Linked DNA regions of Drosophila melanogaster. Changing the gene in region 1 together with any one later gene gives a genetic interaction. Each region holds a gene or a part of one and is shown in the gene's direction. Other genes may lie near its edges.

Region 1 (10,840 bases):
ATCCGTGCGGATCACTATTTGGTTTTCTACAAAACACTCAATTAATTGTGATATTTAAATATGTGTGCATGCATGCTAATGCAGATGCCCTGTATCGGGGTTACTCCTCCTCCTCCTCCTCCTTCTACGTTCCCTCTATTCTGACCACCATTTACTGACTAGAAATGCCGCTTCAACTTTAATCATCCAACTAACTCAAGTACAAGCTGGGTTCATACGTTTCTTTGTGCTATGGGCTGCCAGAGGGGGTTTCATTTCGACTAAACTTTGAAGTGCAGTTGCAGATTATGCGTAAGTGGATATCAATACCGTCTCCTCCTCGTTCGTCCCGATGCTGTGGTGTAATCTCGTCAACGCCAGCGCTGCCAGTTGGTGCTCCTAAATACATGCTGCTGCTCTACGCGCTAGCTTTCAAAGGCCCTAATAATATCGGCTTGGCATGATGCCGCAAGTCTTTTGTAAATTATTATAAATATCATTATAGTTAAGGTACAACTAAATATCATCATTAATATAGTCCAAATTAGCTAACACGGCTCGCTAAAGCTAACTAAACATAAATACATAAATACATATATACGAACGTACGAACACAAACAAAGTCACAGAAGTGCGCCTCATAAAACTAAACCTGGGCCGTTTGGGTTGGTGCTTCATTGTGTATTAGCAGCATGGCAACGCAATGGGTATCCGGATCCCCATTTCTACCGGAAGCCATCGTCACCTGGCAAGCCCGGAACTGGCTGACTGGGCCTTCGCCTGCTTGCTATTCGTGTTGACCGCATTCGATGTGGAGCCACCTGCGTTGGCTGGAGCTGCAGCCGCATTCTGCTCCCCCCGTTCCCTTTCGGCCCGATGATGGTGTCCATGCTGATGGTGATGATGGTGACGCCTACCGCCGCGATAGTGCCGCCGATTGTGGTGATAGTTATTGTTGGTCGGCTCCGGCATGATGCGGTGGGTCTCCTGCACCACTGGCGCAAATGTGGAACTAGTTGTGGGCTTGATAACCTCCTCCTTCGACGGTCCTTCTAGCTTTTTGGCTGCCTCGGCCTCCTCACGGCGGCGCCTGCGCCTGATGTCCTCCTCCGTCTCGATGGAAATCACGGCAGAGCCCTCGGCGTTCACATCGATAATGGCGCCGCGACTCTTCTGCTGCAGATACAGCTCCGACATGCGCTGCTGCATTTGACGCAGCTCCTCGGTCACCTTAAATTCCGGAGCATTCAGCAACTCAGATGGCGGCATGGCGCACTTGAGGCTATCCGTTTCGTCGCCGATGTGCTCACGGCAAACGGGGCACAGCGCCTGGAAGGGATCGGCCGTCTTCTGCAGCCAGGCAGGCAATTTATCGAACTCCTCCTGGTAGTTGCGACGTAGGGCATTGAGATGCCGAGCCAGGCAATAGCTGTGCAGGTAGTGGAAGCACTCGGTGCGTGTGAACTCGTCGCCATCAGCGAATCCATACAAACAGACAACGCACTGGCCACTGGGCAGATTGCTGCCACTGAGATGCTCTCGCACCACCTCGATGAGGTCGAAAACGACCGGAAAACCAATTGACTCCTTGATCTTGGCGTTGCACGCGCTTCGGATTGCCTCCAGGCGGGCATCGTCCAATCCACGCGGACGCAGCAGCTTGAATGTGGGGCTCTCCTCCGGATAGCCAGGTGTTGGATGCACCTGCAGGGTAACGCACACGTACTGCTGCTCCTCCTCCTCACCGGTCAGGGGCAGCACCGTGGTCTCGATCTGCTCCACCTCGCCGCTTCTCGGGAATTGCAATACTCGCTGTAGTATCGAAAACATATATTGTATTGTTTTACTTACCTGGGTGTGCGTTTAATGCAAACATCGTCCATTAGGATGGCTTCCAGCGACTCCACTTCGTCTTGTAAACTGCAAGAGTACGCAATTGTTATGCAACATTAAGCTAGGAATTTTAACATTTGTTTGCTTACGCGTCCATTTTATCACCGGTCAATTCAGTTTTTGAGTATTTTTCGAGGTTTTGTTTAAAAAATCGATTTGAGACACCTGAAATTTGGAGAAAACACGGCGACCGTTTGTCGCTTAGCCAAAAATACCAGCAAATAACATTATAAATCTCTTTGGCGTCATTAAAATTCAAGTTGGCAGCAATGTAGCGACGGTCATACTAACCTGCATAATAATTTTCGTTTTACTCTTTTGATGGTCAAAAATCATAACTACTACTAACAAATGTTGCGCCGAGGCTTTTTATCTCGCATCAACGCAGCCCAATGGAGCCGCCAAATGTCGGTGGTGGCCAAGTCCTTGAAGTACACACAGCACGGCGAACCACAGGAGGTTCTGCAACTGGTGGAGGACAAACTTCCCGATCCCAAGGACAACCAGGTGCTGGTGAAGATTCTGGCAGCTCCCATTAACCCGGCGGACATAAACACCATTCAGGGTATGCTGGCCATTAGGATATATCACAAACAAACATATATTATGCATGATACAACTGAAATATAGCCATAACCGGCATGAACTGCATAATTAATAACGATAATCTTCTGCTGAAACAACTGGATAAGAACTGAAGATCAGAGATACTTGTATTCTAAGTATACCCACTTGCTTGAAAGTCAGTTATGGGATAATCAGAAGTAATCCATTTAAAGTTAAACGAATGTTATCAGTACATCTTTGTACTTTGAACGATGCTCAAGGTTGTGGCTTTAAATTTTAAAGAAGCCTAGCTTGTTTAAAGTCACTTTGATAATGATTATTATAAATCCTTTACAGGTAAATACCCGGTGAAGCCCAAGTTTCCAGCCGTTGGCGGCAATGAGTGTGTGGCGGAGGTCATCTGCGTGGGCGACAAAGTCAAAGGCTTTGAGGCAGGACAGCACGTCATTCCCTTGGCCAGTGGCCTGGGCACCTGGACCACCCATGCCGTCTACAAGGAGGATCAACTATTGATCGTGTCCAAGAAGGTTGGCTTGGCGGAGGCCGCCACCTCGACAGTGAATCCCACCACTGCCTACCGAATGCTAAAGGACTTTGTGCAGCTCTGTCCGGGTGACACGGTCATCCAAAACGGCGCCAATAGCGCCGTCGGCCAGGCAGTGCACCAATTGTGCCGAGCCTGGGGCATCAATAGCGTTGGCATTGTACGCGACCGCCCAGAAATTGCCGAATTGAAGCAGATGCTGCAGTGCCTGGGAGCCACCGAGGTCCTAACAGAGGCCGAAATTCGCACCAGTGACATCTTCAAGTCGGGCAAGTTGAAAAAGCCCCGTCTGGCCTTCAACTGTGTGGGCGGAAAAAGCGCCACGGAGGTGTCGCGTCATCTAGACAATGGCGGAGTGCTGGTCACCTACGGCGGAATGTCCCGCGAACCCGTCACAGTGGCCACTGGACCCCTCATTTTCAAGGACATTGCATTTAGAGGCTTCTGGATGACTCGCTGGTCCAAGGAGAACTACAGTTCACCAGAGCGTTCGAAAATGTTCAAGGAGATCTTCGAGCTGATGGAGCAGGGAAAGTTCGTGGCCCCCAACCATGAGATGGTGCCCTTGGCAAAGTTCAAAGACGCGGCGGCCGCTGCCTTGAGCTTCAAGGGATTCACCGGCAAGAAGTACATACTGGATATGAGCATTTAGATGCGTAACTCGAGGCTAAGCCTGCTGTTTATTTACATATACGACTTGTGTATTAAAATTGTTATCTACTGTGATACACTTTAGACCATCTCCACCTCATTGGACTGATACTTCAGCTGCAGAGTCATGGCGGACGGCGAGGTGGCATCGGTGACTGTGAGCTGCTGTCCATCGTGTAGACCCAGTTCGCCCAGGCTCTGAGTAAGGTTCTTTCGGGTGGCCTCTTCAATGCTCTTTACCCCGGACATGTACAAAGTCCGCCGCTTGCCGTCCTTCATCACAGTGGTCAAGGCTGGGCTTTTCAGCTGGAAACGCGGGGAATCACACAATAGCTTTATCACATCCTCCAGCGTGGTGGTGTTGGGATCCTCAATCGGCAACGGCTGCGGTGTATTGCTGCACGCCAAGCAGTTTTCCGACTTCTCGGCCTCGTAGGTGTAGGTATAGATTCCGTCCAGGTCGTTGAAGTTCAGGTAGTTTGCCATGCTGTCATAGCAGCTGGTGGCCAACTTAAAGACCTCCAAAGCACAGGCGGCGGCAATGGCTGCATTGGTACTGGCCACAGCTGGAATGATGTGCTTGACAACGCCCTGGACCAAGCGATAGGTCACTCCGGTGATGTTAAACTCATTGGACCGCTCCAGTGCCCGTTCGTAGATCCAACCAATGTGCTGGGGATCGTCCCCATCGAGGGGCACTCCAAACGGATTCTGTTTCTCCCACTGTATGATCTTTACGTACTCAATGCAATGCTCCGGAAGCCTGGGAGTATTTGCTATGGTGCATAGGGGATAGTTGACCTGCGGCGGGAACAGGTCCAGCGTGCACTCAATGCAGGCCGTGAAACCGGGCAGGATGACGCGTGCGTTCCCCTTGAAGCCCTCGGTGCCGCCATCAATCATGGGCACTATGGAGCTGGTATCTATGGTGCCGTCCTCCTCATATCGCAGCATTGATAGCAGCATGCCATTGATCCAACGCCGGGCGACAATGGAGTCTAGGCCACAGACAACCAGGTGGAACTGCTGATAGAAGGACTCATCGAAGTCCTGGATTTTCTTGAAATGCGGCGTCACCCGGCAAGTAGGCACTCTTGCGTTGATGAAGCGAGCCGCACACTCCGCCTTGGAGGCGCCAATGTCTGTGCGACGGAACAGAAACTGGCGATTCAGGTTGGACAGCTCGATGGTGTCCATGTCGATGACGTGCAGGTTGCCGAAGCCCATCAGAGCCAGATCCTTCAGCAGTTCGCAGCCCAGGCCACCGGCTCCGATGATCAGAACCTGGCACTTGGTCTGCAAGAACTCCAGGTTTTCCGACGAGGCCGCGAAACCGTCCTTGCAGAAGGGACCTTCGCGTTCCAGGATGTTCCGCAGTCCATTGAAACGCTTGCTCTGGAGGATTAAGCCAGGATTGGGTGAGTGGACAGACATTTTTCAAACAAAATCGAGACTGTGATTCGTTTAGCAACACTACTCGGGTCGGAATAAATATTAGTGATGGTAGCTTATGTGAATAAGAATTTATATAAGACATATTGTAAATAAAAAAAAATATTGTAATTATATTATTATTAATATAATCATTTCAAAAGTATTAATAGGATAACATTAAATTATTTTTTATTTAATTCCGAAAGAATTGTTAACTTGAAACAATCTCTATCATCTCTAACACGATCAGATCGATATTTTCTGTTAGCATGACTACCCTACTGTTATTTCGAGCCACCCATTAATGGTCACACTGCGCAGATGGCGTCAATTTGAAAACAACGGAACTTGAAAAAATTCAGCGCGTCTTTTGCAGCGTGCTCCGTTTGCCACTCGTTTTTGGGTAAATACTACTGATTTTCAGTAGATTTCGAAGTTGAATCAAGGAAACCAGTGTGCAGGCAGTCCCTGCGAGTGAAAACCGATTCGTAGAACTACCGAGACAAGCAAAAATGGCGCTCTCCGCATTGGCGTCCTTCGATGATCTGCGACGCTGCATGCAAGTGCTTACCGATGGAACTCCTGAGGAGGGTGAGTAAAACTGAAAACACGCAAGGCAAATGAAGCCCTACATGATGCTTGTATTCCATTTAGAGTTCCTGCGGTTCTTGCGCATGTTCGAGCAGTACCACGAAAAGTGCGCGGGCTACGCGGCCGAGACGGCCAGGATACAAAACGAGCTGGACAAGTCGTTGACCAAAATGGGCGACCTGGAGGGCAAACTCTTTCACGCACGCCGCATCATCGACATGGAGATCAAGGCGCGCCGCCAGGCGGAACACGAACGAGATGCCATGGAGAGCAAGATCATGGCTGTGGCAGATCTGCTGCGACACGAGCGCAATCTGAACAACGAGACCCGCGACAAGCTGGCCTTTCTGCACACACTGCCCTCGTCGCGAAAGCGCAAGTCCCTGAATGCCGTGCGGGAGGACAAGTCCTATGGCGACATCAACTCCACCGGATCGTTGCTGTCGGATTTGTCTATTACACACTCCGAGGACGACTTCCTCGATGTGCGCACATCAAAATCTTGGCGAGAGCATCGTCCTTCGCTGCCCAAGAACCAGATTCCTAGCGTTGGCAACAAGAGATCGCGATTGAGCACTGGACTGAATGGCAGTATGTCCGGGACTACACCAACCACTGGCAAATCGCGGCGCTCTAGCGTCGGAATCGGAGTGGAGCAACACACGGTGGACGTGGGTCAAGGCGCTGAGCGCTTTTGTGCCACCACCAAGGTCACCATACCCCAGGATGGACAGGGCGTGATTCGTGCAGAGTCGACCATTGAGTCGCTGCCTGTAATTGCCGGCAACGAGAGGATCGGCGACGGACTATCCTCGACGCCACGGCGATCGGTGCTTAAAGAGGCCACCGCACCGCCGCTGACGCCGGTAAATGCTATGGCACCTCACGTTGTCGCTGAATCCGGAACGCCACTGCAGCACCGTCCACTGATGAGGAACCACACCTTCAGTCAGAAGACATTCTTGCGTGGCGACAATTGCGTTCAGTGTCAGAAACGGTAAGCTTACTAGAAGTTCTGCTCCAAGTAGGTTTTTTTTATTAATTAAATACTTTTTATACTCTTCAGCATACGGTTTGGAGCCGTTGGGCTGAGATGTCGGGATTGCCCGGTGCGCTGTCACATCGATTGTCGGTATCTGCTCACCGTTAGCTGTGTGCCGCAAACGGGAACACCGACGACGAAGACCATGACTGGCTATGTAACGGACTTTGCACCATCTATTGCACCCATGATCCCGGCACTGATTGTGCACTGCGTAAATGAGATTGAAGCCCGCGGCCTGACCGAGGTTGGCCTCTATCGATTGTCCTCGTCGGAGCGGGAGTACAAGGCCCTCAAGGAGCAGTTCCTGCGAGGCAAGGCCACTCCACATTTGGGCAACACGGATATCTATGTGCTGTGCTGTTGTGTCAAGGATTTCCTGAGGTCCCTAACAGAGCCTCTCATTCCCACCAGCCAATGGAAGGATTTCGCAAACGCAGTCCAAAATCCTGACACCAAAACTGCCCAGGATATGTTGGTTAAGTCGGTGAAGCAGCTACCACAGGCCAATAGGGATACGCTGGCCTTCCTCATACTGCACTTCCAACGAATTGCCCAGTGCCCAGTCGTGCTAATGCCGATCGATAACATCTCGCTCATCTTTGGCCCCACCATTGTGGGCTACTCCACACCAGATCCCGACCAGCATGCGATCTACACGGAAGTTTTCACCCAGAAGCAGGTGATGAAGGCACTTCTTGAGCTGCCCGTTTCGTTCTGGGAGCAATATATCGTTATAGATCCGACAAGAACACCGGCCACAGTTATCAAGCGGGTGCCAAGCAACAAAAATGACTTACTCTCGCTATATGGTGAGTTATTTATGAGCTAATTTTTTTAATTATTCTAATTATCTCTCCTTCACAGCAACTCCCTTCAAAGGAGGCACCATTAAGAAGCGGAAGTTTTACGGCACACCGCCGGCATCTGCGCACAAGAAATAACGAGACTTTCCTTGTTGGAAAGCATTTGACGTGTTACTTAAGTTTACTTCAAGTATTTTGCAAGTTTTTTGTTTCCGGCCAGCCAACCCCGAGCTGTATTTGTACCCAACCCAACCATAAGCTTTTCTTTATAATTTATGCGTTCGATTATAAACTAAAGCACGTTATTATCGTACTAACATAAGTATACTCACCAGAGAAATAAACTAAAATATGCATTTGAAAAGCAATAAGAACAATGAACAAATATATAAATAAACGATAAAAGAATATAACAAGTTTTTATTCAAGTTCAAATATTTTTGAATCTGTTTAGTGAACTTACTTTTTTATATTCTTGATGGCAAATTATTGGAGGCATGTTAGTAACCAAAAGTATATTAAACATTTCCGGATTTGGATTTGGAAACGGGAATGTTTCGCCACAAAACGTGCATCACAACTAATGGCAAACTCGATACAACTTTGGAATATCCCTTTGATAGGATTATCTAAAAACGTGATAAGCTCGGTCATTGAAAATACTGACTGCCGCTCAGAAAACCCCATGACTGATAATTGTGCACAGCTAGAGCCGTATCATCATCAAACTGGTTTGGACAACTCTCGTAATAATACCCTTAACTGCGCCATGGAACCGTCAGTCTGTCGATTGGAACCCATTTAGAATGTTCGGAGCGCATCAGAATCTCTCAATTCAGCTGGTGATTTTTCTCTCCTTAGCCGTCACCATTTGCTTGGGATCCCAAAATGCCACAAGCTGCGGGCATCGCTGTGGAGGAGGCGACTGTATCCAACTGGACCAGCTGTGCGATGGGAGCGCCAACTGCTTGGATGGTTCCGATGAGACGGTCGCCATGTGTGAGAAGGTCTGGTGTCCGGGTTATGCATTTCGCTGCAGCTACGGTGCGTGCATAGCCAGCACAGCGGTTTGCGATGGCGTCCAGGACTGCGTGGATGGTTCGGATGAGCAGGGTTGGCTGTGCCGGGCGCAGATGCAGCAGGCTAACTGCGACAACTGGGAAATGTACTGCTCCTCTGGCCAATGCATGACCTATTCCAAATTGTGTGATGGCATCCGTGACTGCCGAGATGGAGACGATGAGCTGGAGTCCCTTTGCGAGGGCGTTACCATACCAACGACTACAGTCAGTTCAACGACAAGTACAACTACGGAAAGTAGTATCCATAGGATAACTCCCACTGTTCCTGTAACAAGGAAGGCGTCACGACCAAATCCTCTTCAGGAGAACGGGGAGTGCGTGGTTCCCCAACTGCCAAACGTTATGGTTAAGCACTTCACAGATGCAATCCTCACTGTAGGATCAAGGGTAGCCAATGGCACCCGTATCTACTACGACTGCCCGGCGGAGCACAGACTGAAAGGCGAGAACCAGAACATTTGCCAGGACGCATTGTGGGCTAGGAAGTTTCCTTACTGTGAAAGTAAGTTGTGTATTTATCAAAAGTTTCTTCATTAATACTAATTTATTTACTTTTAGCACCCCAAGCGTATGTTTTCAGCTTGGTTATAGTAATATTCTGCTTCCTAATCGTGGTATTGGTGTTTCTAATTTGGCGGGTGCGTCGAGAAAATGGCTCAAGAAGGCAACGAGAGGAGCACATTTGGCTGGTGGAGACCAGCAGTAATCTTCCCCAGACATCTTCAATACCAAAGGTCTAGGAATTAATTTTTACAAAGCTAAACATGTGATCACGCATACTTACTTATTTACCAGCCAAGTTGTTGATAAAAAGTACTGTTAATTTCAAACTATCTAGGCTTATCTTATGTAAATAATGTTATTTCAAGTTCTCCATAAAAATTAAAAGCTTAAATACGAATGTATATTTATTTTTAGAGTAAAACGTGAGAAGTAGTATTATATTGTAAATATATTAAAACAGATTTAAGAACATAATAATTGTGTTATTAGGTTGCACATTTTAATTTCGGCTGTTAACAATACTTTTGCGTTAACAGCTGTAATGCTAGAACCACTTGTTGCTGCGACCCAAACTGTGACTGAAACAGTGACTGGAAATAGTGGCATTTCTGGTGGGAGCGAACGCGGTCACACCTGCCCCACTAGTGCGCCAATATTGCTCCAGTGCTTCGCAGCGTAAGTATCCCAAGTTCTAGAGTGGCTCCATGCCAGATACCGCCACAGATTAGATAACGAATTGCACTTGCAGCCGGCTCAGAGTTCCTTCAATTGAAAATGGCCAACATTGCTAAGATCTTCGCTAGCCGCGCCCAGTGCGTCCTGCAGGCAGCCGCCCGTCAGCCACAGGTGGCCACCCGTTTCAGCAGCTCCTGTAAGTAGATGGTTGATTGCGAGGGATCAAAGTCCACGCGATTGATGCCCAGCTCCAACCTAAGCCGGAATATCAAGATATCAAGTGCCGCCGGTTTCTTGGCGACATCTTTTGTACTTTTCCAGGCAAATAAACATTGATTGCGTAACATTCGCGCACATACGATCACCTCATTTATGATGCCATCTCTTTTCAGCCACCAACAACAACTGGGAGTACATCAAGACCGAAGTGGCCGGCGAGGGCAAGAACGTAGGCGTGATCACCCTGAACCGCCCCAAGGCCCTGAATGCCCTCTGCAATGGCCTGATGAAGGAGCTGTCCACCGCATTGCAGCAATTCAGCAAGGATAAGACCATCTCCGCCATCGTTTTGACGGGCAGCGAGAAGGCCTTCGCCGCTGGCGCTGATATTAAGGAGATGGTGGGCAACACCTACTCGCAGTGCATCCAGGGCAACTTCTTGAACGACTGGACAGAGGTGGCCCGCACCCAGAAGCCCATCATTGCTGCCGTGAATGGTTACGCCTTGGGCGGTGGCTGTGAGCTGGCCATGATGTGCGACATCATATATGCCGGTGACAAGGCCAAGTTTGGTCAGCCTGAAATTGCCCTGGGCACCATTCCCGGTGCCGGTGGCACCCAGCGTCTGACCCGCGTCGTTGGCAAGTCCAAGGCCATGGAAATGTGCCTCACCGGCAATATGATCGGCGCCCAGGAGGCTGAGAAGCTGGGTCTGGCCAGCAAGGTGGTGCCCGCCGACCAGTTATTGGGCGAGGCCGTCAAGCTGGGCGAGAAGATCGGCACCCACTCCAATCTGATCGTGCAGCTGTGCAAGGAGGCGGTTAACACGGCTTACGAGACCACTCTCCAAGAG
Region 2 (10,774 bases), on another chromosome or scaffold:
GGTTGATTTACGGATTTATTAACTGAAGTTGATGGATATTGGTTGCTGTACGCTATCGCTATGGTAGACTACTTGCCGGCCGCCGTGGCCAGGGGATTCCTTAGGACCAGGATGACAGAATCGCCTCGCAGGAACATCTTCGATATGAACCGATCCTTGTTCACGGGCTTCACCTTCTTCTTGCCCTTACCGGTCCGCGGCAGCTCCGTCCACATCTCCTTCACGTTTTCCAGTACCATGTTGCAGTGCCGATCGAAGGCCTTTACCCTGCCCAGCAGCTTCTTGTTGTTGCGGCAGTTGATGAGCACCTGGGTGTTGTTCTTCACGGACTGCGTGAGCACGGACAGCGGGCCGGTGTTAAACTCCTCCTCCTCCTGCCGCGCCAGCTCCTCCGGGGTCAGCTCCGATTTCGGTTTCACAAGAGCCCTGCAGAGAACACAGTACATTAGTATTTCACCCACAACTCGAGCGTGGTGCTAACAATGCAAAATGCCGGCGCACATGCCGCTGCCAGTTACGCCATTTCCGATGGTTTGTCCCATCTGCCCCGGGATACTTACATAGCGGATTATAACTATGGCTTGTTAAATGATGTTGATAGTCTTCTTGTTTCGCTTCTCAGTTGGTTTTCTGCGTTTATTGTTGGCAAAAGTATTCAGCGCGGCTTCGTTTTTTTTGCAGTGTTACCAGCTCTGAGGACGTTTGCACTCGACCAGCCCTGAATTTCAAAGCTAACTATCGGCGTTTGGCATTCGCGTAAATTAAATAAACTATTATTTTGAAAAATCAAGCTCAATTTGAGTTTTTTATTAAAAAACTTATTAAAATATTCAATGTAAGAAGTGTAAACATATTTAAGACCATAGTTAAAACATTTTTGTGAAAAGTTGGTAATAGTGTTATCTAGTGTGCCAGCCTTGGTCACACTGCCTGGCACGAGTTCCGAATTGGGAGGAATTTATTTTGAAAATAAAAGTAACGAATGGAACCTGTGAAAGAGACGATGACCACTGTCAAGGCGGAGAAGCCGGTAACCACCACTTGCTCCTACTGGGTGTTACGCAAAAAGCGCCGCTGCAAGATGACTGCAAACAAGGGCAGTGAGTTTTGTGGAGCCCATGCCTCATCGGCAGCCACCACTGCAACTTGCGATGAAAAAGCTAGAGAAGATTCCTTCCAGGAACGTATTCCCTGCCCGCTTGATCACAAACATACCGTGTTTAAAAGAAAACTAGCCAAACACTTGACCATTTGCAATGCCAGGGATCAGGAAAGTTCACTGCCCTACATTGTAAAAGGAGTGAATTCTGGAGACAATCTTAAGGAAACAGACGAAGATTTGAACAAATTCAATCAAATAAAACTGCACGAACTGGCGGATGAAGAGTTCTACAGTCTGATCGACAAAGTTAAGAATCTGTATGACAAGCACATCAATTCCAGCATACAGGAACTGCAGCTGGAGCACGAATCCCTAAAGGAGGAACTTAGTCGCAAGGACTACGGCCAGGAAACGCTACGCCAGCTCACCCAGACCACTAGCTTGCTGGGCATCCTGGAACACGATCACCAGTTGATGGATCACACGAGCTATATAGAATTCGGAGCCGGAAAGGGACAATTGGCCTACTTTTTGGCCACCGTATTGCAGGAACAGAAGTTGAGTCACTCACAGGTGGTCCTCATCGATCGAATGTCCCTGCGGCACAAGAAGGACAACAAGTTGGCCAACAGGGAGGTGGTGCAACGTATCCGTGCTGATATCGCTGATCTTAAGCTTTCTGCTCTGCCGGAGCTAAAGAAAACCCAACGAACGGTGGCTTTTTCGAAGCACCTCTGTGGAGCAGCTACAGACTTGACCCTGAGATGTATACTCGGTGATGGAAATGCCAGCTCGGACTACGTTCTCATCGCCCTGTGTTGTCATCATCGCTGCTCCTGGCGCTCCTACGTGGGACGCAAGTTTCTTCAGGAAGCTGGAATTGGACCACGGGAGTTCGTTATCCTAACCAAAATGGTCAGTTGGGCAGTTTGTGGCACGGGCTTAAGCCGAGAGCGGCGTAAGGCCATGGAATCGGCTGACTTTCAGCTCACCGAGACGAACACGCAGCGTCTAACTCGCCAGGAGCGCGAACAAATTGGCCAACAGTGCAAGCGGGTTCTGGATTATGGACGACTGGAGCATCTACGATCCCACGGATATCAAGCAGAACTTAAGTTCTATGTTCCCAGGGATGTGACTTTGGAAAACGTGGTTCTGCTGGCCAGACCGACCAGCCCTAAGCTGGACCAAAATAAATGCTGTTGACTTAAGTAAAATGACTTTTCTCCTTCCTTAATTCATATCCTGCTCCTGGATTTAAATTTTTCATTATTTACTAAAAACTAGTGACGATCGCACCATCGCCATAAAAATGTTCTGATGTCATCTTTTGTGACGAAAAATATTTAACTAGGAAAATGCAATGTCATATTTTTATTTCGCTTTATTAAAATATTTATTAGCTAGGAAGACATTTTTATTGAAGCGGTCCGCATAGGTAATTTTTTTTAGTTGTAGAATTAATGTTTTTTATATCGAGCTATTTTGCACAATTTAAATGGTGTCATTACCATAAAATGTTCATGCAAAATTTATATATTGTTACAAAAAAGAGTTACGGAAATGTTGACAAATGACATAGCTTATTTTGAACTTATCTTTTACTATTTATTACATTTAAATTTACCAACATGAACAATATTTTGGAGAATCGGATTATTAGAAACCTATTTGAATTTAACTAAGCGTTTGTTAAATAGTCCCATATCCTTAAAGACTTTGATGTTCTTCAACATCATTGGAATGACCCTAATTTAATCTTTCATTTACTGATGGACTAAATCGAATATAGACTAGATTAGTAAAAAATGCCCAATGTCCTGTCATCCGAGCAACCTCTCTTTTTATGGGCTTGCTTTTAAGAAGATTTTTAGACCAACGTGAGCTAGTAACTGGCTAGGAATGAACCTATTGAAAGGAGTATGGAAGGAATTAGTCACTGACACTGACTAATACAAGTACTTGCATTACAGTACTTTCCAGGCCTGAAATGGTTGGCTAAGGCAAGTTTGAGATCATTCGATTGACTAATGCAATCTTCCACCCGCTCCCAATTGTTTATCAGTGTATATCACCGACGAAGAGATCTAAGCCGTTCTATGACTGAACTCATTATTTAATATATCCCTCTGTTTAAGATGTGATTCGCCTATTAACCTAGAATTAGGTAAAAGTTGCGACTTAAAACAAACGTCTAATTAAACAGTTCGAGAATTTCCGGAATAAGAACTTCTCTAAGCCCAACCCCCAAAGAACGTCTTCGCTGTTTGCCCGAAATGTCAGGACAAAAGGACCTCAACGCGGACACCTCGAGTGGCGAGCGCACGTCCAATCACAGAGCAAAACAATAATTGTTTACAAATTGTTAACACGGTCCGCAATAGTAGTAGATGATTGTCACTTTTGACGCGCCACGCCCCCTGCCAGGGGCGTCTCGGGCAAATAAAAATCCTCAAATCACGCTTTGGCACAAGGCCCTACTACACTGGGAGAAATCTATATCAAATTTTTTTGGATTTATATCTTAACTTGACTACGACTAAATATTTAAATACGAGATTGATATATAACAAAAACTTATCGTATACCGATACTGTTTAATTTTTATCAAACTATATATATTTCTTACACAAATATCTTAATTATTTTAAAAGGTTTCTGGTGCTTGCATTCTAGTTTTGAAAGTCCTAAGTTTGAATAAAATATATTTTAGTGATATTTCGCTTTTAGGAATTTGTTCTTTGGATCCCATTGAAATACAATTTCCATCTCTAGTTAGGAAACATATTTTTGCTCTGTGTAACTGGTTTGCATATCATTTGCGGGTGTAGCACATCCAGGTGGCATATAAAACCGCCAATATCCGGGATGAGCTGATTCAGTCCGCGGCGACTCTTTGGCTCATTGGCAAGCAGTGCCAACCGGTGACCATGTCGAACTTCAGTGCCTGCGCAGTGTGCGGCGATCAGAGCTCCGGGAAGCACTACGGCGTGTCCTGCTGCGATGGGTGCTCCTGCTTTTTCAAGCGGAGCGTGCGGCGCGGGAGCAGCTACGCCTGCATCGCTCTGGTCGGGAACTGTGTGGTGGACAAGGCGCGGCGGAACTGGTGTCCCTCCTGCCGCTTCCAGCGATGCCTGGCCGTGGGAATGAACGCTGCTGCGGTTCAGGAGGAGCGCGGTCCGCGCAACCAGCAGGTGGCTCTCTACCGCACTGGCCGGAGACAAGCTCCGCCATCTCAGGCGGCGCCATCCCCGACGCCCCACTCCCAGGCGCTGCACTTCCAGATCCTCGCCCAGATCCTTGTCACGTGCCTGCGCCAGGCGAAGGCCAACGAGCAGTTCGCTCTGTTGGATCGCTGCCAACAAGACGCCATCTTTCAGGTGGTGTGGAGCGAGATCTTCGTCCTGCGAGCGTCCCACTGGTCTCTGGACATCAGCGCCATGATCGACGGCTGCGGCGATGAGCAGCTCAAACGGCTCATTTGCGAGGCCCACCAGCTAAGGGCCGACGTCCTGGAACTCAACTTTATGGAGTCCCTAATCCTGTGCAGAAAAGGTAAAGCTCCGCCTGTGCGGTAAAAAGGCTTGTTAGGATTTAAAAATAAAAGCGGTTTGAAGCCATCTAACCAATTTTCAATGTTTTTACACATATTGACGTGATTTCTTAGACGAAAATTTAAATCCTATGTACGCTATGTATAGATTTTGCTATTTGATTCTGCATGAAAGAGTACACCCAAGCAGTTTTCTTAACCCCAGAAAAAACGTTTCCGTTTTGGGCTTAATAAATTCAAAAGAAAATTTTCCAGCATGTGCAGTTGGTTTGTTTGAACCAACCATAAAATTTGATTAGATTCAAGATTAGAGACAGATTTAAGACCTTTTACATCGTTTTAATTTAATTAAGAGTTTAATAGGAAGTCAAACCACCATTAGTATATCCCATTTTAATACTTTTAATTGCTTATATCGATTGCATGTTTTTACAGAATTGGCCATCAATGCGGAGTATGCCGTTATCCTGGGAAGCCACTCTAAAGCCGCCCTGATCTCCTTAGCCCGCTACACCCTGCAGCAATCCAACTACCTGCGGTTCGGACAACTGCTCCTTGGTCTGAGGCAGCTGTGCCTGAGGCGCTTCGACTGCGCGCTTTCTTGTATGTTTCGCAGCGTGGTCAGGGACATCTTAAAAACACTTTAGGCTCATATCTATCTTCATCTTTCAAAATTAAAGAAAAACCTAGTCTTAAAGAGGGTACTAGATAATGGCTGTTTTTCTGTTCGCCAGTTCAAACATCTAAAGTAACTTCGCTATCTGAAGTTTCAACCCATATCTAAAAATGCATTCATTTCTGTCAACAATCGTTCATGGAGGCATTTAGACACGCCCCAAACTTTATTGGCACTATGCAATTTGTTGGAAATAAAAATATTTGGAACAAAGAGATTATTATGAACTCAAAATTTGATGTGGTATTTTTTGAAAAACACTTTTTCAAAGGTCGCCAATCACAATACAAAAAACTCATCGATATGTTGTGAAAAGTCACGGAGCGAATATATTCGTTTCTGTTCGCTATCGATATATTGATATATTTTTGCCATCGCTACATTGTCTGCTGCGGCCGTCTTGTCGTCTTTCTGTAATTATTTTTCGTAGTTAACAAACCCCTGAATAATGTAAACCAATTAGTGGGTGATGCAAGGACCGAAAATGCGCGCGCGTTGCTAAAGAAGCTAGAAAGCGAGAAAGTTTGCGGAGCGCCATAAGATTGCTGCGCTTTAACTGCTGCTGGTGCCTCTCGTCCGTCGGCCATTTATGACACACACCAGAGAAAACTGGAAAACAATACAGTGTGTGTGCGGTTTGGAGTGTGTGCGAGTGCGGCCAAGTGTTGTGGGCTCGGAAAACTCCAAGAAGCCAGTGGAGAAGTGGTGTCCACGCGAATCCGTGAATCGCAAGCGTTTCTTCTTCGACTGCAAGCGGCGTACAGGGTGCACCGTGCAAAAGAAAGGCAGCCAAGGCATATTGTACTTGCAGTGAGTTCAAGTGGAGAGTGGTGGCCGAGTGGAGCGGGTAGAATGGTCTTGTGGAGAGCGGGGCGAGGGAGTTTCATTCATAAAAAGAGAGTGCACCGTTAGTCCAATTGGTCTGGCTTCCAATGCACAGACAAGCACACACACACCGCCTAAGGAGAGGTTGCACACATTGATTTTTCCAACTCACGTGTGTGTGTGTGCGTGTATGTGGATTAAAGGAAAACGTTTCAAGTGGTTTCCACGCCACATTATTTTGGATTAGCACATTGCTGCTCCCGAATTTCCAGCCCAAAAATAAAGCAACCAAATGTCAACAAGCTGGAATGCCCCAATGCCCCTTCCCCCGCTATTAACACACGTGACACGATACAAGACATTTACATAAAGCTCTAATAACTAACAACATTTCGCAGTCGATTTGGCATTTAACAGTTACCGCTCTAACGGCACATGTCCAGTGCGCCAGTGCACCACCCCCTTCCTTCGTTCAACGAAAAACATATTTGCTTAGCACGGTCACAGGTAAAAGCGGAAGGGACAGGGACGCGCGGAAGCGGTCGCGGTAGGGAACTGAAAAGAGGAATATAAAAGGCATAACATTTCCGCCTGCTGCTTTCGGCTGGCGTCCGCAACCAAAATAGACAACGTCGGAGCGGCTGAGAGTCTCCGTCGCCAGCAGTTATGCGTGGCAACTCGCTAAATATGCACCGACCATAATCATCGTATCATTTTTAATGCTTACATTTTGTATATTGATACTAAGATAACTTACTTAAAGTCTTCGGACAGCAGAAGGTGATCTTCGTCATGTTTTGGCTTCATATTTATACAGCAATCCTCGGAAAAATTGCGTAAAATGAATTCCATGAATAAATTCTTAAGTTTAGTTTTAATAGAAAGTTAACATAAAGCAGTCGTCAAAGTAATCAAGAAGCTTGATCACAAACTTTGGCTCCGCGTAAACGTGGCGAAGAAGTATGCATATGTTTGTGGCTTCTTTCAGCTCTTGGAGCGAGCGCCACGTTTGCGTCGCTGTTGTTGCAACATGCACCTAGGCCTGCGTCACTTTGAATGTCCTACCCTCCTCCCTTCCGCTCCCCTGCGTTTGACAACCCCTGTCGCTAATTTAAATGCCGCAAGTGTTGTCGAGTTTCCTGTGCCTACAATGTGTGTTTTTCTCATTAGGGAATAATTTTGCATGGGCCCCTGCAGAAAGAAAAACATTTTTTATCGATTTTACCTAAAGTTCGACCGTCAATGAAATCAAACACAATGCGGTACATCGTTAACCCAGTTCTGGGCGCCCACACGCTCCCGAAAAGTTTGTTCTTGCTTGATTTAAAAACGAATTTTCACCTATGTGTGTATGTTTGCATGCATATTATATGTACATACATATATACGTTTATAGATCTCTGGGCAAGCAGCCAGTAAACCAACGTATGCCCATAAAGCCTATAGTACAGATATACAGTTGCGGTCAAGAATATATCACACAGCAAGTTTACTACTTTCTATTTGTCGATACTCCTTTACTTTTTATCTTAAATTCAGTATGTATCGACATACATACATATGTAATTGAAATCAACGAGCGTATCTATTGAGTAAACAATCTACTTACATCGGTGAATTTAAAAACAATTAGCAAGAAAACATTGCACTTGATAAATTGGGGTAGAAAGGTAATGTCGGAATGAACCGCATGACACATAATGATTTGGGTATTTTATCCTATGATTCTCTTATATACTTATGTACACATATATGTACATATATTGGTCACTAAGAACCCTTTTTTCTGATGATTCAAAAGTTGGAGTTGATATCTTATTAGATCCCCGCTATGCTATTAAGTTGACCACAGCTGTTGGAACTGTATGTTAATGTTTGTCCAACGTTTTCACACTTCGCCACCCCCTCGTCCCAGACTCTCCGCCTCCCGTTAGCTGCATTGACTCTTGACGCCTGACGATGATAAATGAATCATAAAAGCAGCGCAGTCGACGTCGCCGGCAAAGCAGACAGGCGCCAAAGCCGCCTTGCTCTCCTCGCCACTCTGCGCTCCCACTCCTTTTCGCCCTCTCGCTCATATGTTTGGCTGCGATGCCGCCCACTCGAGTGTGTTTATGTTGTTGCTGTCCTCGCTGCTTAATTTCCTCATTTGTGTTGCTGTAATTCCCAATGCGTGAGCTGCTTTGTTTTTATTATGAGTGCAATCGAAGCCACTCTTGTTATCGCAACGAATTTTTTATGGCTCTCGATCGTTTACGTGGGCGAGAGCGGAGCAACTGAGGTAGAGAGGATACCCTTAAAGTGTGTTGTGTGAGAACAGTGGTTTGCGTCTAATGGAAACTGAAATTAAAATATAGTCCTTTAATGATTATTCCATTTTGGGTCATATTTTTTAACTCCATATGCTCTATAGGTGCTCCAATGAATATTTAAAATAAATGAACTAAAAGTGAATAGATGTGGGTATACAATTATGATCAATGCACACTTAACTTAAATAGGATAATATTTTAAGTTCCTCACATAGATGCGCAATAATTGCTGAATTGAAATGTATAGTCTCAACTAATTTATAAAATTAGCTTCGGAGAGTATACAAAATTCGAATACCCATATCAATCAGCTTTTAAGCAATGTAGGGGAGGCACTCTCGCGAGCTGGGGTGCTCGAGACAATCTCTTGGAGCGATGTATGTTGTTTGTTGCCTTTTGCAGCCTGCTCTAGTGGCAGTGACACTCGAAGGTGGGAGACACGCTGACGGAACAACTGAGCAGCGGGCCCACAGTCCGAATTAGTTCGCCGGACGGCCTATATTGATAAATTTATAACTGCGGCTATATGTCTCCTCTCCTGCTGCAGCCAACCAGTGTGTGTGTGTGTGTGTGTAGGTGTTGTGTTTTTGAACATATTCAAAAAGCAAAACAAAGTGCTTTCCGCGTGCCAAAAAATCTAGAGCACACAGTATTGACGTGATCTTCATGAAGATCGGTAAAAAAAAAATAATAATCAAAAGCCAAAAATGAATAACTTTGTGCAGAATGGTGTGAAACACACAACGCCAAAGTGTTCGAGAAAAATATATGCAAACAATCTATCTCTTGTAGTTGTATGACAAATTTGTGATTTTGTAGAAGCATATGACGCGATTGCAATACGTTGGGGAAAGAATACAGAACGAAATATATACTAAGATAAGCTGCGGAACACTTTTCGCGATAGATAACAGAAGGTTGGCACCCCTGGAATACTCCAAGCATTAAATCATTTCTGCACTGTTCCCAATTTCGAACTGTGTTGATGAAATCACCAGTTTCTAAATAATTTGCTTTAGAAAACATCTAGCACATATTACATTTAAAATTATATGTTCTTCTTGGAAAAAGCACTTATTTAAAAAATGTATAGTCTTTCTTAGTAATATAAGAATTGAAAATATATCAATGATACAAAATCGTTAAGATAGTTGTCTCATATTTAGTACATTTTAGTTAAGGCGAAATACTTAGTTATGGCCAACATACTGATCCCTTTCTCCCACTCTCGACAGCTGTTTTCTGGGCGTAGAACAGCTGTGCATAACGGGGCGCTAGACGAAGCGGAGGAGGAGGAAGCAGGAGCTAACCAGAAGAGCCAGAAGCACACAAAGACGAATCCATGTCCAGCGAGGAAGACAAACCGCCGGCGCCGCCTGTGCGTCTCACCAGCAACCGGGGCGGCAATGAACGATCGGGAGGAGGAGTGGGCGTCGGTGGCGGAGGACTGGGAGGTGGCGGTATGGGAGATGTACCGCCCGACATGCGTCCGCTGCCCAAGGGTGAGTACATTTCGATTAGTTGAGCACGGCATGTGAAGACCTCTGGTCCGCTTAACAATGTGCTTTTTTCTCTTCTCCCAAAAAGAACCCGACGACTCCGATCGGAAGAAGAAAACGCTGAAGAGCAAGATCAAAGGATCGAAGCCCTCGCACACGGACTCCAAGCCGAACATCTCCTATCCCACGAACTTTGAGCACACGGTCCATGTGGGATTCGATGCTGTCACCGGCGAGTTTACCGTGAGTTTTCTATTATGCTCGTCTATGGACACCTTCAGTCGCGTTTGCCTCGCCATTATGCCTACGGCTTTCTGTCTAAGAATAGCAAGTCGGAAATCTTCGGTTTTCACTGCTTATGTCCTCTATTTGATAAGCTTTTGTACACCAAATTTATATGCAAAAACACAGTCACCAAAGACTTAAAGTTTCGTTTGCAGATTACATATTACATTTTTGGGTGACGATAGTAATTGCATTACAATTTAATGTGTGGAGTTATTATAAACGCCACGATCTTGGACCATAAATTGAGCAATTATTAATATTCCAAATTTTAAATTCGATCCGAGATTGTAATCAAACCGGCGGCCTCGATCAGACCCCAAACACTGAACTGCATTTCGGGTTTCTAAATATTAAATTTAATCAAGTAAATATTGCTCACCAGGTCACCCAAAAATTTGTTAATATATTTTTAATTTGTTTTGGCGCTCACCATATATACATACATATAAAACACTGTACTTCTACATACATTCTGTTGTCTAAATCTATCTCTCGCGATTCTTGCTCTATATCAATTTC
Region 3 (11,916 bases), on another chromosome or scaffold:
ACGCAGTCGCGGAGCCAATTTGGCCATCAGTCAATAGGGCTTCATTTGAATTGCCAGCTTGTCTCCAATTGACGATGGGCCACCTCATGGCGGCGGGTCGGGCCCACGCTAGGACCTCGCCAGGACCTGCCCCTCAGCACCCGCCCACGCAGTGGGCTGTGTGTGGCCACATCCAGCCATCCATCTATGTGCCCACACATCCCACATCCGTAAGCCCATCTGCAATCAGTCGGCAGCATGGCGTAATTAAACCCGCCGCTGTCACAGTTGTCGTCTCGTGGCGTTTGACATGTCCGCCTCGCGTTTATTGGCAACATTGTTCACTTAATCATCCCACATTTACCATATTTATTAGCAACATCGATCTATCTGCTCGTATCCGAATGCACGGAATGGGGAGCCGTGGAAAATCCCTGGATCCGAAGGGAAATTGTACTCAACAAGCTTGGTGGAAAGACCCCTAATTTACTATTGTTATTATTTTCATCAGAAATCGAAATTTATATAAATTACATGTTTAATTTTAATTGAAATATCTGGAACCTTTTTCATGATATAATCTTAAAAGAGTTTAATTTAACTTGAATATCTTTATCTATTTCTGAAGTAGCTATAGATTCAAGGTCCCAGAAAAATCCGGGGCATAAAACATTTGCATTATATAACTTTTCGGGTCCGATCATTATATTTTAAGTAAAACCCTTAACGATGAATGACATAGGGATCCTAAAAGACCCTTAGAAAAATCAAACAATACGAAAGTTAAGGGAAGACAAGTTTTTTAAATCTCCTTTTTTAACGAAATACTTTGATTTAAATATGGAATTAAATTGTTATCAACATCTGAAAAATTGCAAAAATCATTTAATTTATATTAGTTGCAATTTTTAAAACTTGATTTAGAGTTTGACGTATATGAGTAGATGACCGCTGCAGTTTATTAATAAGATTTATTGGTGACCTTCATATTCTGATTAGAGTCTGTGCAATCTATTAATTGACCATTTATTTAATGTCCACATATTATAGGAATTGCTTGATAAGACTCGCAAGTAATCAAATCAAATGTGAAAATATTCAATTTTAAATTAAACCAGTTACTTAACCACATGCCTGATTATAAAAATATGCGAGTTTTTCGGCGTTTTTTTTTTTTGTTTATCCTTTAGAAAGCATGCGTATATTTTTACAGTGTAATGGCCAGTTACCAGCAAATGCAACTCAAATTCTTCAAACTCGATAAGGTTGCCCCTGGAGGTATACCATAAATATAAACCGATGCACTAAGAAGGCAAATAAAACGCTTGTTAGCCCCGATAAGCAGGCAAATAAATGATACTTTGTTAGCGCTGAGGAGCCGTATTTAAGGGCATGATCTCATGGGTCGCTTATCGCCGGGTTCCACTGTAGACACAAAGCAAGTGGTCCGAGCACACGCGCCACCTACAGATTGTTTTATTTATTGAGCCCCGATAAGCACACAATTCTTTGCTGTTCTCAGAATTAAGTCCTCGTATTTTAAGGCATGATGTCATGTGTTGTCTGTAGGCAAAATCCACTGTAGATAGTATTTAAGTGCTTCGAGCATTCGCGCACTTTAGAGCTTTGGATTATTTAGCACCAAATGAGCTTTAAACAGCTGAGTACAAAAGCATGCTGAAAAGCTTTTGCCATCTTTCAAGGTTAAGCTATGAATACACCCATCCGAAAACTACAGTGCAACCTGTTGCGTTTTCCCCATTTTTATTACCACATAAAAACTGGTTTTCAGCCACGTACACTCTGATTTTTATGGCCGACGGGCGAAATTAAGAAATACCACATTTTTAGAAGCCTGACACTTTTTCCAAATTAGTACGCTTAAAACAATTCTAACAATTTCTAATGTGTTATTTACTTGTGTTCAAAATCAGTTGTTATGTTCGATTTCACTGACAAATTTTCCCACACTCGTTTTGTTTTCCTTGATAGCCGGTCGAAATGTTGGGAAGCACTACACAGTGCCGCCTAAGCATCTTCGGCATTTTTTAAATTTCTAAAGTTTTTTCTAAATTTGAAATAGACCAAACTTTTTGCCAGTGCAGCCGGTTTGATAACCCCCCATTGAAAGCTCTTTTTTGCCAGTCTTCAATCGGTTGTGGGCACTTGCAGTCCGTTTTGTTTTTCTTTAACGCAGATTGAGGGATCGAAGATCATCCAGCTGTTGCGATGAACCGTCGCCTTCCAGGAACCATCAGCCAGTGCCAGAAGCTTCTCCTAGCCACCCACAACCATGCTCCAACGGCCTTCTCCACCAGATTCCTGTCCACATCTCGAGTGAACCGCGAGCGGCAAGAGTAAGTTTGTTTATATAGCTGCGAAAGTTTATGACATTTTCCGCGAAACAAATGGCATGGCAAATCTATATCTATATCTACCAAAACAAATTGAATTAGTATGTTTAGGCTAGTAACTAATTAATGGCGATAACGAAGAGATAACTTGTTGGCCATGGTTAGATGGCACTGATGGTGGGTGTGGTCATGCGACTGTACTAATCTCCCTTGAGGTGTCTGTCATTGTATATTCCAGCAATTAAGTAAATCCTATTTTTTCCAGATGCCAAGTGCTGGTTGTGGGCGGTGGCACCGGTGGGTGTGCCATGGCCGCCAAGTTGTCCTCACGTTTGGGCAGCGACAAGGTGGTCGTCCTGGAACCGGAAGATGTGAGTAAGCCCAAAGGCAGTAAATAATCCATTATGACATAGCGCGATAATTCCCCATAGAAACATTACTACCAACCCATGTTCACCCTAATAGGAGGTGGTATGAAGAGATTGGATCAGAGCCACCGCCAAATGGCCGATGTGCTGCCCACAAAGGCCAAATGGGTGAAGGAGAAGGCGCTGGAGTTCGATCCGGATAATAATACGGTTAGCACTTCTGGTGGCAAGACCATCAAGTACGACTTCCTGATCATCGCCACCGGACTGCAGCTCAATTATGGAAAGGTACGTAGGGTATCAGTACGTTTAATAGTTGCTAATATCCATATCCACATATCCATAGATACCTGGCCTGGTGGAGGCCCTGGAGACCCCCGACAGTAATGTTTGCTCCATCTACTCGCCCAAGTACGTGGATCATGTGTACGAATGTCTGCGCAGGACCAACAAAGGAAATGCTATATTCACGTTTCCCAATTGTCCCATTAAGTGTGCAGGTGCACCGCAGAAAATCGCCTATATATCTGAGCACTACTTTAGGAAGGTGTGCATCATTTAGATAGAATATCTGGCAAACAACTTCAATTTGAAACCCTTTTCAGATGGGTCGTCGCGACAACGTCAATATCATCTACAATACATCGCTTCCCGTGATTTTTGGTGTTAAGCATTACGCAGAGGCCCTGATGAAACTGATCAAGAGGAGAAATATCACGCTTAATGTTCAAAGAAATCTCGTTGAAGTGAGACATAAAGATAATATAGCCGTGTTCGAGGATCTCGCCAAACCAGGAGTTCACTATGAGGAAACGGTAAGTGCTGGTCAATTAATTGGGTATTCTAGATACTATATAGATCTAGATCTAGATCCTAGAACTATATCTTTCTACTTAAAGCGAGAAATATGAAGAGTAGGTTAACTAAGATCAATTTTAAAGTCGTATAGTATTGCAGAAATAGGAGAATTGAAGGCCATGAAATTAAACTTATATAAGTATTATATCTTTCTCAGTACTCCATGCTTCATGTGACTCCGCCGATGAGCACTCCGGATGTGGTGGCCAACTGCAAGAAACTGGTAACCCCCACTGGCTTTGTGGACGTCGACCAGTTGACGCTGCAGCACAACAAGTACAGCAACGTGTTCGCCATCGGCGATTCGGCGTCCAGTCCCAACTCGAAGACGGCCGCGGCGGCAGGTAAATGGGTTGGGAATCCTGATCAGAATATTCAATTGATTTTTCACCTCCAGCCGCCCAATCACCGGTTGTGTTCAAAAACGTAATGGCGGCGATCGAGGGCAAAGCCCCAACGGATATCTACGATGGATACTCGTCCTGCCCCATCGTCACCGGCTACAGCTCCTGCATCCTGGCTGAGTTTGATTACAACCTCACCCCCGTGGAGACCTTTCCATTGGACCAGTCCAAGGAGAGGTACTCCATGTTCTTTATGAAGAAGGAGCTGATGCCGGTGCTCTACTGGAAGCTGATGATGAACGGCTACTGGAACGGACCGGCACTAATGCGGAAAATTTTCTCAGTGCTAAAGTTTAATAAAAAGCAATAGGGACCTCAAATGATCTTTAATTAATTTTAAAAGAATATTTGGCATCATCATAACCATTCCATACCTTAATATCATACTAATTTATAAACATTGTACTTTTAATTTGGTATGTGAGATCATAAATAAAAGTATTAAATTAGTTTAAAATCTAGTATATCTAAATATTTTAACCTATTCAAATGGCACGCACTGTACATAGCCTCGGTTTCAGTATGTATCAAGTATATATTGGAGCAGGGGATGGTATTTGCAGCATTAACCGCTTTCTAAAGTTCGGTCACTCTAAAACCAAGCGTGGCGTCGCTTGGCGCTGTAAATTTGAAGGTAACGAACTAAAAGAGAGATCGATTCCAGCAACAAAACAAGAAGAAACCCAACTCCCGTATATCAAATTAGTTGCAAAAACGAGCTGACAACATGAAGGCAGTGTAAGTGATATGACAGTTCCCGAAAGAACAACTCCATCAATGAGAATACCCATTTGCAGACCCAGGACGCCGATGCGTGTCGTCCCGAAAACTCCGCGGGTGCATCAAACGGTGGAGAAACAGCGACGAGACACCTCCGACAAGGCCAGGGATCCAGTGAATGTGTTCTGTCGAGTGCGGCCACTACAATCCGACGCAGATCTCACCTCCCTAAGGGTCAAGAACTCCACGACGATCGCACTGAATCCGCAGGATCAGCTGCTGCAGCATCACAAGCCACACAACGGCGCCCAGCGCGAGGTTCAGTACATATTCAAGCACGTTTTCCAGCCGGATGCCACGCAGCAGGATGTGTACGCAGCTGTGGCCCAGCCGTTGGTGGAGAACCTACTGAAAGGCCGAAACAGTCTGCTTTTCACCTACGGCGTGACTGGAAGTGGAAAAACGTACACCATGACCGGCAACCTGCGACACCGCGGCATCATGCCGCGCTGCCTGGACGTGCTCTTTCGCACCATTTCAGATTACCAGGCCAAGAAGTTCGTCTTCAAGCCGGACAAGCTTAATGGCTTCGAGATCCTGTCCGAAGAGGATGCGCTTTTGGAGCGCCAACACGAGATGAACCAGCGTTTTGCTGGCTCAGGACGATTTGCCTTCAGGCACAAGGACTCGGATCCGGAAATTGCATCCCAGGCCTCCGTGGAGCCAATTCCGCTGCTGGGTTTGGATGAGGACAACATGTACTCGGTGTTTGTCACCTATATTGAAATTTACAATAACAGCGTCTACGACCTCCTTGAGGACTCGGGTATACAGAAGTAAGTATTTATTAAGCATTACATTTAAAGAAATCTAACTGTATTCTTGACCCGACAGGACTTTGCAGAGCAAAATCATTCGTGAAGATGCCAATCGACACATGTTCGTCCACGGCGTCACAGAGGTGGAGGTCAAGACCGTGGAGGACGCCCTCGAGGTCTTTCAAATGGGCCAGAAGCGCAAACGAATGGGACACACTGTTCTCAATGCAGAATCCAGTAGGAGTCACTCGGTGTTCAATATACGCTTGGTGCAGGCGCCCACTGATAGCCAGGGTGAGAATGTGGTTCAGGACCGGCAAAACATCACAGTGAGTCAACTGTCCCTGGTGGATCTGGCGGGCAGTGAGCGATCCTCAAGGACCAAGAACACCGGTGTGCGACTCCGTGAGGCGGGCAACATCAATAATTCGCTGATGACGCTGCGCACTTGCCTGGAATATCTGCGCGAGAACCAACTCGCGGCTAGCAATGGATTGGCACCCAAGAAGGTCCCCTATCGAGACTCCAAGATCACACACATGTTTAAAAACTACTTCGATGGCGAAGGCCAGGTGTCCATGATTGTGTGCATCAACCCAAGAATTGAGGACTATGATGAGAATATGGTAAACTATTTTTCTGACAACAATGTACTCTGGTCCCTAAAATTTATTTATCCCGTTTAGCAAGTGATGAAGTTCGCCGAGATGACCCAGGAGGTGCAAATTGCTCGGGCGACTCCTATGAAGCAAGATTTGGGTCTGACTCCCGGCCGTCGCAAGGCCAACAAGCTGTTCAAGATTGCCGTTAATAATCTAAACGAGCTGGGCATTCCTGAGGCCAAGGATTTGGAGGTGGACGTGGGTTTGGTGTACAGTTTGGGACCCGATTTTCCCGCCTACGAAATGGACAGTCCCGAGGCACAGATCAAAATCCGCGAGCTAATGCATTATCTGGAGCAGCGCATAGAAAAGCGAAAGAAGCTGCGTGCCAACTTGGACATTAAATGTAAGACGTCACTTTCTTAATCTTAACATTGAAATACTAATTCCACAACTTTCAGGTGACAGCTTCCGGCAGATGCTGATGAACCTTGACCGCGACAATCTTCAGCTGCGCACGGAGCTCGCCTCCTTAAAGGCTGTTTACAAGCAGGAGCGCGATCGCAGTGCGGCACTCGAGAAGAAGGTTCGCATCCACGAGAGCTCCATTGACGTGCTTAACAATACGCTAAGCAAGCAAGAACGGCAGATTGAAGAGCTGACTTTCAAGCTGAACGAGAAGGAGAATATGCTCACCCAAAAGGAGCACGAGAAGGAAAAGCAAAAGAAGAAGTTCAGCTCCAAGCTGGCCGTTGAGTCGGACAAAAATAAGCGAGAGTTTGAACTAAAGCTGCGTGAACAGCGAGTGAAATTGCAGGAACGCATGCGCATCAAGGACGAGAAGTTGCGATTGGTCTCCAACATTCTGCAGTCCGAAGATCTGCCCAGTTTGCCGCGGTCACAGAGCTCGGAAAACATACTTAATGAGAAAGATCGCGGTGCATATACGGCGCGCACGGAGGAGTCCTCGGTGCCAGCTACACGAACAGATATATATGCAACGCCACGTCATGTAAGTGTATGATTAATCCTAGAATATTGCAATATCTATTGATAATTTTATATCCCAACAGGGTGCAGCAGCGGCCAACAATCGGCATAGACGCTCTCGATCCGCAGGCGACAAGTGGCTGGAGCATCGGGCAGCTAATCCCGTTCCGCTTGGCACTATTATGCAGCCGTATCTGAAGAATCGCAAATCCGTAACGAAACTAACCGACTTGAAGGAGTTGACTGCTCACGGAACTACGAAGTACTGTCTCGTCTCGCAGGATGCGGATACGGATGGCGATGTGGAGACGAAGCTGTATAAGGGCAATGTAATTCCCACTTGTGGCGGTGGTGCCCAAGTTGTGTTCAACGATGTGGAGTGCCTCAAGCAGAAGTCACCGGTTCACTCGCCCACGCGAAAGCGACCCAGCAATGGCAACATTTCGGCTCTGGGCGGCGGTGCAGTGCCCAGCACGGTCACCTCAGCCCAGGACGTAGCCTCCCGCTGCAATCTCGGCATTGAGGGACACAGCAGCAAGAAGTCGAAAATCTAAAAATGACTCAGCGTGGAATTCTCAAAGTCAATTACCCATTTAGTTCATAGTTACTTAGTTTCCATAACTTAAATTTAAGTTTATTACTCACCCACTTCGGTTTTTGGAGTTGAATCGCATTGAAGTGATTTGTTTGATTAAAGAAAAGTTAATCTGTATAAATAATCCCGTAAATGAATTCGCAACCCCTCGCAAATGGAAATGTTTCCTGCTCCAAATAGTCGGTACCCGGAGGGTATCTGCCAAGAGCAGTTGTTAGAAACTATCCAAGCATCGTCCAATCATAGAACTACTCTAGTGTTATTATAAAGTATTAAATATTTTATTGTTTTTCGGAGTGAACCCAACTCCAGTCCAGTCACAAAATGAACAAATAAAGTGAATTACGCGCATATACTGAAAGTGATCAATTTGGTTTTTATCAATTTTAGATTTTCTGGCTGCAAAGCTCCCAGAGTTCCGTGAAGCAATAACATGTGGCACATAGATGGTTTTAACTATTTTTATTATTATTCCTGCGTTTATTCAGATTTATGCTTAAACCGATAAATTTTATTGAAATACATACGGTACCATTACACATACATATTTGTAGATTAATTTCAATTACTAATAAATCAGTCTATAATTAAAATATATGTTCGCTTAATGATTTCACGTGTGTGAGTGTTGTTGTGTTGCAGTGTTCATGTTGCAGTTGCTGTTTCGTGGGTGTGAGTTGCTGCTCGATGAGTTCGGCAGATGACTCTTAAACGCTATGTGCGGCAAATGTGGCAGGTTCCTGGCAAATGAGGAATTTCGAATTTGGAATTGGAAGCCAATATCGCTAATGCTACTGCACGACAAATGAATCAAATCAAATGTAAAAGGGAAACAATCAGAACGTGATAATAGAATTTAGGTACATACCCGTTCAAGTACAATTAAACAAAACAAGTTGGACGAGACGAAACAAAACCACAAATGTAAACATAATAGGCGGCAAACTCAACTCAAGTGGTGGGCCAATATTAACATATCCATCTTATCCAAATTTCATTTAAACAAATTACAATTTAATCAATATAAAGCTCTGTTCTCATAAACGCTCTCTCAGGTTCACACGACGCGAAACAATTATTTGCATCTGCAGTTGTAAATCTGCGCTTTATAATACGTAATCATAATCATAATATTATCATTAAGGTAATCGATTCTTGCCATATACACAATAGCAATAAAAACTAAGAAGCGAAATTATTCTACGGTGGAAAACGAATTTTGGCTATGAAGCAACGTAATTTAAAAGGGTATTATTAACAATATACACTCACAGCCACAGCCACACCCCGACCACCCGACTACCCTACTCTTCTTTCCCTTAATTGTTTAATGTTTTTTGTGTGTGTGTTACGGTGTGTGTGGTGTTAATGGTGTGTGTGGTGTATGTGAGCAGTTGCGTTTTGTTGGCAAGGCATTCAACATTACGTTGCGGACCCTCACATCCGCGGCATCTGTCTGTGTGTGCTTTTCTGTGTTTGGATGAGTTTGCAATGAAATCTCGCTTGAAGCTGTATACTAGCTGCCCCGTCCCTGACCGTTCACCGCCTGAATCCAAGCGAGACGGCGGCGTAGGCTCCACCGGAAGTGCCCCACCGTCTCCTATGAGCACTTCACACATGCACCCTCAACATCAAAGTCGAGGACCATTAGCTTTGTTTCCTCCGTTCCGTTGCGGGAACCGACGGCACAAATGAGTTTAGTGTCGTTTGCTCTGAAAAGTTTTTAGATATAGTTAATTACATTTATAATGAGCGGATTTATATCGTCTTGGACTTACCTAATCCGCCACACAACGCCGCCGGATCCACCAGAGTCCAGAGCCACAAGATTACGTATAAAGTCGCCCGTCTTAACGTCCCACAATTTCACGGTGCCATCGTCGGAACTGGTCACCACAAATCGGGAGTTAAATTGCAGGCAGGTGACCGCAGAATGATGCTTATTTGGACCTAAAGGGGATTTAAGGAGTACCAGATTAGTAGTGGATCTTTTACAGCATGTTAGTGAAAAGTAAACACGGAGGATTCAAACTTACCCGACAGCGTTTGCAGACATTGTCCGGTTGTGATGTCCCACACCTTGACTGTCGAGTCGGCGTTGCCCGAGACAAGAATGTTTTGACGCAGTTCCATGCCAGAGGTCAAACTCTGATGACCCATCAGGGTGTGCTTGCAATTGCCCGTCTCCACGTCCCACACGCGAATAGAGGTGTCCAATGAACCCGATACCACATGCAGGCCATCAAACTGTGTGAAATTTAGAATGGTTTACGGCAAAGTCCGACAAAGAAGTGTTGACTATCTTACCTGCAGCGAGTAGACGCGATTTGTGTGGCCCTGCAGTGTGTGCAGGCACTCCTGGCGCTCCGGATGCCAGATCTTCACCATATAATCATACGCTCCGGACACAATCAGCTTCCCATCGTACTGCACACAACGCACAGCAGCCAAGTGACCAACCAAAACGTGCAGACAGGAGCCTTGTTCAATGTCCCAAACCCTCAAGGTTGCGTCTCGCGAGCCACTGACCACTCTGTTGAGAAATTCGTCAACAATCAGCATTGGTTAGTGGATAGTTGTGTGTGGTTTTAACTTACTTGCTGCCATGCAAATGCATACACCGCACAGTGGACGTATGCCCCTGAAGTGTGTGCACACATGCGCCGCTGTCCATGTCCCAGACTTTGAGCGTGCGATCCGTGCTGCCTGAAATGATGATATTTCCGGACATTTGGGAAGACCAAACACCACCGGTGTGACCAACCAAAGTGCGCAGGCACTACAGTTGTTGAGAAAGATATCTCGTTAGCAGGGAAACATTAAATGATTGCTTGTTCGATTTACTCACCTTTCCGTTCACCGCTGACCATACTTTAAGTGTATTGTCATCGGAGCCGGACACAATGCGATTGCCAGAGAACTGCAGGCACGTAATCACATGATCGTCGTGGCCCTTGAGTACCTTGGGCTTGCGCACAGGTCGCGACCGCCAGTTCATTTCGATGATGTGCTGACGCATGTAGGCGGCCTTCCAGGGCGAAGCAATTGGCGGCATGTTGCCATCGCGTCCCCGTTTCGGGCGATCACTACGCGGCTCGGCGAGGATCTGGGCTTTGCGGCACTTCTCCTTCCACAACAGATTGTCGTCGCACAGGAAGCGCCAGCTGCGGCAGGTCTGCGCTGCCCTCAGCAAGTCTTTGGGCTCCAAGTACGAGAGCACAAAGAGGGCTAGCTCTCTTGGCAGCAGGGAGATGAAGTCCCGCTGGAACTGCGGCTCAATCACCTTCATCATGTGCCGCACCTGAGACGGATCGCAGTGATCGATGAGACGGTCCAGGGCCAGCAATCGCTCGACATGGGACCATCGTTGGAATTGTGCCAACCAGTGCTGCAGCTCTGGTGGCGGATTGTCACGAGACGGCACGGAACGTGGGGTGCGACGACCCAAAGCCGATCCCGGCGTGGAGCTAGTCAGATGCGATGAGGGCGTCACCGATAGCACTGCCGTGGGTCCCAAATGTTGCGAGGAGCGCGGCGTAGATGCAAAATCATAGGCAATCCGCTTGCGGCAATTATCGCTCACACCTGAACCCGGTCCGCCCACTTCGCCGCTGGAAGATATAGTCACCGAGTAGTCGCCGCCATCCAGCAGACGTCCCTCGTTGAACTTTCGTTTGCGCTGATGAGACATTAGCGAGCTGGGATTGGTCAGCGAGTATTCGGTGAAGCCAGCTGAGGCAGAGGACAGCGACAAGGAAATGGGCTCATCGGGATCCATGGCGTCCATGTCGAAAGTCTCGCTGAGACTGGCATTGCTTCCGCCGTAGCTGCTTCCGTTACCGTTCTGGCATGTGCAAATCTCCTCCAGATCGGAACAGTTGTTCTCCTCATCGCAGTTGGCCCAAGGTTCCTCGGCACTAAAGTCGCCGGGCTCCACCACGCCGCCGTCCCCTCCGCCAGCTCCCTCTTCCACCACCACTTCCAGGTGGACAACATCGCTGGAACCGTTTCGCCGTTGCCGAACAGATGCTGTCGGGTTTGCCCCAACCGACCCCGCTCCACTAGCAGCTGGAGGATTGCTGCGAGTCAGGAAACGCTCCTGGGTTTGGGCGCTGGCATTAACCTGGCGAGCTGCCTTTGTCGTCGATGTAGTGGCATACTGGCAACGGTTGGACGCTCCGGCTCCGGACGAGGTAGAAGCCGATGTCGAGGCCTGAGAGTCACCCAA

The links.
Region 2: of tum (region 1) and Pak, changing one suppresses a phenotype caused by changing the other (phenotypic suppression), as found in Drosophila melanogaster (one study listed by BioGRID).
Region 3: of tum (region 1) and pav, changing one enhances a phenotype caused by changing the other (phenotypic enhancement), as found in Drosophila melanogaster (one study listed by BioGRID).

What each region holds. Positions count from the first base shown.
Region 1 is NT_033778.4:13,853,226-13,864,065, reverse strand, and holds tum (tumbleweed), read left to right. Parts: upstream 1-5,376; 5' UTR 5,377-5,580; coding exon 5,581-5,659; intron 5,660-5,722; coding exon 5,723-6,656; intron 6,657-6,725; coding exon 6,726-7,513; intron 7,514-7,568; coding exon 7,569-7,645; 3' UTR 7,646-7,916; downstream 7,917-10,840. Other genes in the region: CG13344 (uncharacterized protein), read right to left, coding at 721-1,768, 1,831-1,899, 1,962-1,969; CG16935 (uncharacterized protein), read left to right, coding at 2,224-2,437, 2,776-3,635; Uba3 (Ubiquitin-like activating enzyme 3), read right to left, coding at 3,716-5,068; CG6553 (uncharacterized protein), read left to right, coding at 8,314-9,091, 9,148-9,329; Echs1 (Enoyl-CoA hydratase, short chain 1), read left to right, coding at 9,868-9,964, 10,161-10,840.
Region 2 is NT_033777.3:6,345,211-6,355,984, forward strand, and holds the start of Pak (p21-activated kinase), read left to right. Parts: upstream 1-5,685; 5' UTR 5,686-6,141; intron 6,142-7,912; exon of another isoform or gene 7,913-8,329; intron 8,330-8,877; exon of another isoform or gene 8,878-9,040; intron 9,041-9,227; exon of another isoform or gene 9,228-9,385; intron 9,386-9,703; 5' UTR 9,704-9,810; coding exon 9,811-9,970; intron 9,971-10,055; coding exon 10,056-10,210; intron 10,211-10,774. Other genes in the region: small ribonucleoprotein particle protein SmD2, read right to left, coding at 69-426, 561-562; CG18048 (uncharacterized protein), read left to right, coding at 983-2,308; Hr83 (hormone receptor 83), read left to right, coding at 4,033-4,657, 5,091-5,302.
Region 3 is NT_037436.4:4,238,188-4,250,103, forward strand, and holds pav (pavarotti), read left to right. Parts: upstream 1-4,546; 5' UTR 4,547-4,690; coding exon 4,691-4,701; intron 4,702-4,760; coding exon 4,761-5,519; intron 5,520-5,577; coding exon 5,578-6,127; intron 6,128-6,187; coding exon 6,188-6,509; intron 6,510-6,564; coding exon 6,565-7,115; intron 7,116-7,176; coding exon 7,177-7,647; 3' UTR 7,648-8,046; downstream 8,047-11,916. Other genes in the region: Sqor (sulfide quinone oxidoreductase), read left to right, coding at 2,209-2,336, 2,599-2,704, 2,765-2,989, 3,048-3,248, 3,307-3,516, 3,717-3,903, 3,957-4,273; ago (archipelago), read right to left, coding at 9,289-9,400, 9,467-9,638, 9,725-9,935, 9,996-10,221, 10,286-10,467, 10,537-11,916.